Linked DNA regions of Oryza sativa Japonica Group. Each later gene encodes a partner of the first gene's protein in a complex. Links are inferred from orthologs where the notes say so. Each region holds a gene or a part of one and is shown in the gene's direction. Other genes may lie near its edges. The genes, in order: COP9 signalosome complex subunit 7 and COP9 signalosome complex subunit 8.

Region 1 (4,536 bases):
AACCAAGAGCACTAGCCCCATCGGTAAACTAAACTTGAAATCTTTCTTTTTAAGTTTCCAAATAACTGATGCTAATCCAAACTTATTTCTTTTCAGCCTCCTCGTTCTCCAACTCCTATTCCTCATGAATCAAGCGAACGCACTCCATCAGCTGCAGGTAGCCATCATGTGGAGGAAGAAGTAGCACCAGCCCCTGCCATCCCTGTAAGTGCCTCTTTTGAATCCACAAATCATATCGGCTATCATGTTACTTCTACTAATCAGTAACCTCAATATTCCCCTTTTTCATGTTCTAGCCGATATGTTTTCTTTTGACATCAGGTAGTTTATGGATGAAGAGGAAGAAACTACAAGTAAAGCCTTGGTGCCTCTAGCCGATAATGTGAAAACAACCTTGCTGGATATCTCAAAGTGGCTTGAAGGCTCCCTAGAAACTCTGGTGGTCAGTTGTGGATCAATCAGAGATAGATTCCTTGTAATCTACGACCAACTCCCAGATGAACTAGCCGATGTTATCACCCCAGCGGCATACCTCGAACAGCATCAGCTCAAGCTTGAAAAGGCTAAACAAAGGGTTGCTGATCGCCGTGAAAGAAAAGATCTTGAGGCCACCATCCAGGCTAGTAGGACTTCTATTAATGAAGAAAAGGCAAAACTTGATGAGTTGGAAGCTGGTCCAAGGTCCACTCAAGCCAACATAGATCGGCTGAATACTCGGAAGATAGAACTCCTAGCCGAATTGGAGCAGTGCAATGCACATATTGCTATTGAAGAACATAAACTTGCCGATCTGCCCAAAGCTACTGAGGATCAGAGATCATAGCTCAAATCTTCTGTCAAACATCTAGCTGATCTAATCAAGTCCCTGAAAGTAATTCTTGGATCTGATGCAGTCGATACCCAGATCATTGATGAGGTAGAACAGATTAGGCAACGAATTATATCGGCTATCCAAAAATATGTATGTGGATGAGCTAAACATGTAACATGTGAATGTATTTAGTTTGTTACCAAACATTGTTAATGCCTAGAGAATTTTGACAACAACATATTTAGTCTATCGCTCTATCCTATCAAAATTTAGTAATATTGTCAACTTGACAAAATTTTGGTATTGCTAAAATTTGAAAAATGTTTATTTTGGCAGTATAATACTCTCTCCATCTACTTTTGATAGTTATATTTTCAAATTTGAAAAATTTATTTTTGATAGGCATATTTCAATCCAACAACTTATCATCTTAATGACTTTCTCAGATTTAATGCATGACTCTCCATTCTTCCACACAAGATTGGTTGCATGGGCATCGAGAAATGTAAATATTAATGAATCGCTTGTTTACGAGAAATGACTAGTAGCATGTTTAAATGGATGATAAGTAGAATTATTTATCCTTGATCTGTGTGTCAAGATAAAATATGACTATCAAAAGCAGATGGAGGAGGAGTAATAAGAAGGCTAAAAAAAAATTGGTGTCTAAACGGGGAAGATGCATTCTTAATGGCAGCAATCCCCCACGTCGACACGCAGCCCAAGCGACCGTGGCCCTCCAGGCCCCGACTCCCGAGCACGAGTATGCGGCAACGAGCCGGACACCAGCACCACCCACCACCGTGGAGCCCAACCGAACCCGAAACCCACTCTCCCCACTACAATCCCACAAAACACAGAGAATATCACCGAGGCGAACGAAACCGAAAAGAAAGCGAAACCCCGATCCCCCAAACCCTAGCGCGTACTAGCCCCCCGGGCAAATCGCCGGCGGCGATGGCGATGGACGCGGAGCGGCGGCAGGCGGAGCTGATCGAGCAGTTCTCCGCGCAGGCGGCCGCCCTCTCCTCGTCGGCGCCGCAGCTGGCGGCGCTCGTGCTCGAGGCCACCTCCCACCCGGCCCTCTTCGCCTTCTCCGAGCTCCTCTCCCTCCCCGCCCTCTCCAAGGTATAAGGGACCCCCCGCCTCTCGCTCCGCCTGCGCCCCGCCGCGCCGCGCGTGTTTAGGGTTAGGGTTTTGGGGGTGGACCACCTCTCCTCCCCCCTCTGATTTCGATCTAATGTCAGTTCGTTGATGCAGCTCACTGGAACGCAGTATGCGTCGTCTCTGGACGTGCTCCGCCTCTTCGCCTATGGGACATTGAAGGACTACAAGAGTAAGATCACCCCCTCCCGTTGCGATTCGTACATTACATTGCCCTTATGTATGTGTTGTCATGCGTCATATGTGTATGCTTATTTGGTGCGTGAGTCTAGTGCATTGTCTTGTTGTTGTGTGTTAGGGGTACGCCCTATGAAATAGCCGCTTACCATGGACGCGATTGGCATGTGAGGGCCATAGCCCATATGTTTAATGGTTAACAATAGTGCTGATTTGTGTTAATGTTAATTCACACTTTTTTTTTGTGTTATATTGTTATAGGTTAATTTTTTGATGGGATTCACATACTAATTAATCATAATTCATCTTTGTCTTATGGTTTATATTCTGCAACAATATGTGGATAGAATTATCACATTTCTGTGCTTGAAATCATAATTTGAGCTGTGACAATCAATTTGCCTTTTCACCCACCAATATGATCAGTGTGTGTCAGGCTGTGGTTGCTAGAATTTTGTTGTTTCCTCTCTCATCGGCATGTCATTAAAACGGTCTGCAGTTTGTGGTATTCTCTGTTTATAGTAATATCAGATAAGTGCAGAACATGAACATTTACTGTTTCATTAATTGTTTTTAATTTTCATACATGTAGGTAATTCTGGCAATCTCCCTGCATTGTTACCTGATCAAGTCCGGAAGCTGAAGCAACTCAGCGTGCTAACTTTGGCTGAGTCAACCAAGGTGCAAATTTAGGCTGATACTGTCTAATATGCTATGCATTTTTTTTTTTGCTTATCCTGTGTACATAAAGTTACTAAGGGAGCGTTTAGATCCTTGGCAATGGGGATTTTAGCCTTGCATAGCAAGGGGAGTTATCATTTGGTAGTAAAAGAAAACAAATCTAACTTTCTCTGTCAATCTAGCTTAACAATTGTCAGAAAAAACTTGCTGTCAAAGGAGAGAAAAAATGGCCCCATCTTCATCGACAAGCATGTGAGCATGAACTGTTGATGGCACCAAATATCGTGCCTCGCTGCCTTGCTTATGTGGGCCATAGATGAAATGAGCAGGTTTATGCCAGGCTGAGCAAAGATAATTTAAGATCCAAATGTATCCTCACAGTTGTTTCATCAAATAATAGCTGGTCTGCATGTTTATTATCTAGGTTTTTCATTCTTCTTTCTTTACGTATGATGGGAAATAGTTCTATGCAGTTATATGTGTTAAGTGATAGTGATTCTCTGAACAGATAACAACCAATGCCAGAAACAAGCTTCTTCCATCCTATTATGTGTGCCCAATTTAGCTTTACACTATCTGTGAATACTATCTTATTCTTTATGTGCATAGCCTGTTTGAGTGTGCACTGGAAGTCAAGTTCATGTAGTATTATCTTTTACCTTAAAACTCTGTTCTATGTTTTTGCTTTAGACAATACTAAATGTGCTTGGTTTTTATTATCATTTCTATTCAGGTGCTACCATATGATCAACTCATGCAAGAATTGGATGTTTCCAATGTAAGAGAACTCGAAGATTTCCTCATCAATGAGTGCATGTACTCGGTGAGAATTTTTTTGCCTTAGGCACTTAAATCTCTATTTTCCATCTTCTAACCTCCCTAACAAAAACCATGTCATTACAAATATATCTTGTGTGGATTATTGCTCTTGTAAGCTCTCTAGCCTTTAGGATCATCGGTTTGTTTCTTGAACTTTTACACCATAGATGCTAGTATTCTAGTCAAATATTAACGTTTAATTGCTTCCCTAGGGTATTGTCAGGGGCAAATTGGATCAGCTGCGGAGGTGTTTTGAGGTCAGATGCTTGTTCTTACAAGTACATTGTTCATGGTTTCATTGTTTAGCTGGCAAATGATCCCCCTAAATTCTGTCTGTACTTGACAGGTACAATTTGCAACTGGAAGGGATCTTACACCTGATCAGCTGAACAATATGATAGATACATTATCTGACTGGTGTGTACCTTTACTTGAGTGATTGTTGCATCCCATCCCTATTTTTTGTTCACAGAAGTTTTAATGTTTGCATTTATATATGGTTCTCCCTCATATCTGATATGACCTTCTGAAAGATACATTGAGGTCATGTGTTATGGGAACTGCGGCTGGGTTATTTTGCTATGTTTATTTGTTCTAGACTCCATGTGTGTTGTCCCTTCAGGCTACTATTGTAGATGGTATGGTTTTGGTTGTTTTTTGTAGTTGGGTGCTGTAGGGATAATGTGAAATTGTGTCTTCTCTTGCCAACCCACTCTGTCTGCCTTTTAACCTTTTTAAGTTTTAATTATACACTATCCATTGTTTTTATTGTCAGTTCATAGCTTTATGTTTTAAATCATATAGAAGTGTTTCCTTGAATTTGTTAAAAGATGAATAACCTCTGAGGTTTTTCATTTAGACAATAGTGTATATGCATCATTTGG
Region 2 (4,380 bases), on another chromosome or scaffold:
AATTTAATTTCTCATAAACAGCTTCCAAAATTTATCCATTACAAATAGGCCTTTAGTCAGGAGGAGATTAAGCCTATATGAATGTAGTTCATCAAGTGGATACTTCCTAAGGCCCTTTGTACCAAGAACCACCTTACCATACTATCGCAAAACAATAATTATAATTTTTATAGGGTGTATGAGAAAAGCACAAATTTTGATCTAAATTTATGACAGTATTACAATTTTACCCAAACTTACATTAAACTACAGACTTAAGAGGGTGTATCACAATAGCATCAAATTTACCACAATACTACAGGTCTAATGCATAATATTGTAGATCTACAAATTTGAACACTAATTTTATCACACAATCATAGCATGTAGCTCAACCCAAATATAAACTCTTGAAACTAGTAGTTTTATAATAATATTGATGTTAAAATTGTAATTTTGTGATATACATAAATTTGTAGTTACGAATAGTTCTGTGCAATTTACTCATTTCGTAACAGTTTTTATTCAACTCATTCAAACTACCATCAAATAGTATTTAATTTGTTTCGAATCAACTCATTCAAATAAAACCGTGATGTTGTTGCTATCAATGTTGATGCTGCAACTTTTCAGTAAACACGTCGAATGGGAGTGGGCATGGTAATAAAAAACTACACCTGTGATTTATTGGCTTGCAATGAGCGCACAAAAGAGGTTACCATAGTATAGCTTGCTGAAGCATTGGCTCTACGCCGCGTTGTTGCTCTCACTTGCGAAGAAGGTTTTCAAAACGCTAGTAATTCTGAATGCAGTCATACGGAGAGTTAACTCATTATCCATGGACCAATCTTCAAATGGCATAGTGATTGCAGACATCAAGGTCATAGCAGTGGGTTTCTCCTCTATTAGTTTTAATCATGTTTATCTATGTTGAATGCCGCGACTCATTTATTAGCTCGTTTCTGTGAACATTCTAGTGATGTTATGCACCGTAACGTAACCTTGGAGTGTATTCGGGAGATACTTTGTAGTAATGATTTACCATAACCAATAAAACACCGCTCTCTCTAAATAGACAAAACCAACCAGTAGTAGTATTCAATCTACTTCCAAATTTGAATCAAATAGTAGTCAAATTTGCAGCATGTTGGGGAAGCACTAGTGGGTGGTGATGGAGTCGTGGGTGCATGGCTCCATCCACTAGGGTTTAAATCCTAATAAGATAATAGATGTTTCACCGATCTCCATCTCTTAGAGTCTGCCATGTTATCTCATAAAGAAATCAAATCTAGGTGAACTTTTAGCAGGGTTTTAGTAACATAAAAGATGTTTGGCTGATTTCCGTCTCTTAGAGTCTGCCATGTAATCTCAAAAAGAAAAAAAAACTGCAGTATATGTTGGAGAAAGAAACAACCCTATCCCTCGCGGGCCAGCCTGGGCCGGACATGTCAGATGGGCCAGAGAGATACACGATTACACGTGGGTTTTTTCTTCCCCCCGTTTATTTCCTTTCCTGAAATTTCTCCAAATCTGCCCCAAATTCCGAATTTTACTCGAACTCCAAAAACCCTTCCCCTCTTCTCCCCTCGCCTCGGCCCGCCGGCGGCCGGCCACCACCGCCACCTCCTCCTCCGATGGATCTCGCCGCCGTCCACGCCGCCCTCGCCGGCAAGTCCTACTCCTCCGTCGCCCCGCTCTGCGACGACCTCTTCCTCCAGGTACCAATCCCTCCCCTCCCCACCCCTCTCCCGCCTCCCGCGACGCGAGGAGGGTTAGCGTAGCGCTCCTGACTCGGTGTTCCTCGCGCAGGCCGCGTCCCGGGGCGCCGCCACCGACGGCTGGCCCTACGCCGTGCACCTCCTCGCCCACCTCTACCTCAACGACCTGTAACGCCCCGCGATCTGCTCCCCCACCTCTCTCCCATGGAATTTTTCTGGGCTAGGGCTTCCGGGATTAATGTTGTTTTTGTGTTTCTGGGTGGGTGCGTGTGTGAGCAGGAACAGCGCGAGGTTTCTGTGGAAGTCGACGCCGCAGGAGGCGAAGGACGCGCGGCCGGAGCTCGCCGCCGTCTGGAGGATCGGGCAGTGCCTCTGGAACCGCGATTACGCGGGCGTCTACGCGGCCGCGCAGGGGTTCGAGTGGAGCCCTGAAATCGCCGACTTCGTGGCCGCCTTCCTAGGTACTGGTTGTTGCTTTACTGTTCATGATGGAAACGTGCAACAGTTGAATTATTCTGTGTCTTTGTGCAAAGTTGTATTGCTTACTAGAATGAATTGCATACTGTGGTAGTATTGTGTTGGAGGTCACCACTTTGTGGTGTGGGTTGGGAAGTCGGGAGATTCAGATGTGCATACATATACTTCATGGAGTAATTGTGGAAACGATTTATCTGCACAATCAGGCTGAATCAGCTTCCTTAATGAATACGCAAAGTTACTATTAGTAGAGTGCCCGTTAGTAGAGTTTTGTGCTGCGTAGTGTAATGGTTAAAGTGTTTATCTTGGAAATACTTGCTTCCTAAGATAGCCTTGTTCAGTGGGTTTATACTATCTCCTTAATAAGGACTAGTGATTTGATTATTTTCAGGCTGCTCATAAGAGTTTGGTTCCCAAGAAGTTCAGTTTTGTTCCTATTTTTACTTCTAATTGACAACATGATGCAACAATTCTAGATGCACAGAGGATGTTCATTAACTCATGCTTCAATCAAAATAAACACTTTGTAGTTATCATTTATGAGTGAAACTGTTGAATGTATTAATGTAATAGCATTATAATTAAACATTTGCACTTTTTTATAAGGTGATTGTTAACATTTTACCAGCAGTCATTGTGACACAGTAGTGGAACTAGAGAAGTTAAGTTCTTTCCATGAAGTGCTTACTATGACATATACCATAATAATACGTCAATCAGGATAATAAGTTAATAACATCATGATTGTTTCCCTTTTGCTTGTTTAACCAACTAATCTTCTAGTATTATTTTTATATTAGGAAATAAGTATAAAGCCTGCTGTTTTATATTTTTTTTAGTATTTATAATTGGTTAACTTGAATATCCAATATTGTTTTCTGATTACACAGAAAGCTACAGAAAGAGGATTTTCCAGTTGTTGACTTCTGCATATTCCACAATCAGCGTTGCTGATGTGGCTCACTTCATGGGGATGAATGAGGAGGATGCTACTAACTGTACATTTTCTGAAACTATCTTGTTGCTGTACTATGTTTTTTAATGTTAAGTACAATGTTCTGACTATCTTCATGTTAATCAACAGTATAGATCATAGAAGTTCTGACATGGTTAATATGGTGTTTTTAGTCATCTTTATCTGTAGAAATCATCCAAAGTCCCAATTTTAGGATACACTGCATCCTTTTCAACTTCCATAGCATTTCTTCATAGATTATAATCTTTCGTCCAATATGTGTTTTTGCAAGTTCCTTGAATTTTGGAAGGTAAATGTTTCTCCCTATGTCTCAAAATATAACAACTTTTAACCCTCAGGATTTGTCCCAAAATATAACAACTTCTCCACCAACATTCTCTTTCCAACCAATCACAACCCTCCACCATTCACTTTTCCCACCTACCTCCACTACTCATCCAATTACAACCCTCCACCATTCACTTCTATCTACTTTCTTAATAACCGTGTCCAACTCTAAAACTCTAAAACAATGATGGTGCCCCTATGGACTTCTTTTGGGTAGCACTTCTATTGTACTGACTGGATTATAACACTGCATATTACATTACTTTCCTTTCACAATAGAAAATAGAAACCTCTCCTTCATACAATACTTGAATTCCATTTTGTGCCATCAGTGTTGTCCACATTTCTCCTGGATTGAGCATTGTACATTCTAGGTTTGAATAAAGTGTCAGATATTTTGTTGTCTTTGAGACTCGGTTGTGTCAAAATTAAACATACTTTTGTGTGCATGAATTTTAGTTTGTTTTGATCATTGTGATAATGCTGGCCCATTGATTTTGATGTTCACAATGAGGTATATCCACAATTTCACATCTAATTGGCTATCTCTGTTGGCTTGAGTACTGTTGTGGAGTATAAAATTAGTAGAAATTTTGGCACAACCCACTCAAAAAGAGTTGTCTTCATTTTACCATTTCAATATAGTGAATGCATTCTTCTTCCTTCTAATTACCAAAATTTTTCGTAGGTCATTCATGTAACATATTGAAAATTATTTTTTTTTTGTGGTCAATGCATCAAGGCTCGTGTATCCCTCTTTCTATGGCTATAACTAAAACTTGCTATATTTGAAACATATTGAAAAACATATTGAATATTTTTGGAATAAGCATCCCTCTGTATTTGAAGCATTTTTAGTTCTGCAAATTTTATTATGCTATTGTGTTTGACTTTCTGCATGAT

What was found.
Region 2: COP9 signalosome complex subunit 7 (region 1) and COP9 signalosome complex subunit 8 share a complex: the UniProt entries of both Arabidopsis thaliana proteins name them as parts of the CSN complex. The link is inferred for Oryza sativa Japonica Group from reciprocal best matches to the Arabidopsis thaliana genes FUS5 and COP9.

The regions. Positions count from the first base shown.
Region 1 is NC_089041.1:18,480,390-18,484,925, reverse strand, and holds the start of COP9 signalosome complex subunit 7, read left to right. Parts: upstream 1-1,691; 5' UTR 1,692-1,768; coding exon 1,769-1,939; intron 1,940-2,071; coding exon 2,072-2,147; intron 2,148-2,744; coding exon 2,745-2,833; intron 2,834-3,566; coding exon 3,567-3,656; intron 3,657-3,864; coding exon 3,865-3,909; intron 3,910-3,998; coding exon 3,999-4,069; intron 4,070-4,536. UniProt on the Arabidopsis thaliana protein: Component of the COP9 signalosome complex (CSN), a complex involved in various cellular and developmental processes such as photomorphogenesis and auxin and jasmonate responses.
Region 2 is NC_089038.1:21,626,917-21,631,296, reverse strand, and holds the start of COP9 signalosome complex subunit 8, read left to right. Parts: upstream 1-1,511; 5' UTR 1,512-1,613; coding exon 1,614-1,697; intron 1,698-1,788; coding exon 1,789-1,865; intron 1,866-1,976; coding exon 1,977-2,158; intron 2,159-3,064; coding exon 3,065-3,172; intron 3,173-4,380. UniProt on the Arabidopsis thaliana protein: Component of the COP9 signalosome complex (CSN), a complex involved in various cellular and developmental processes such as photomorphogenesis and auxin and jasmonate responses.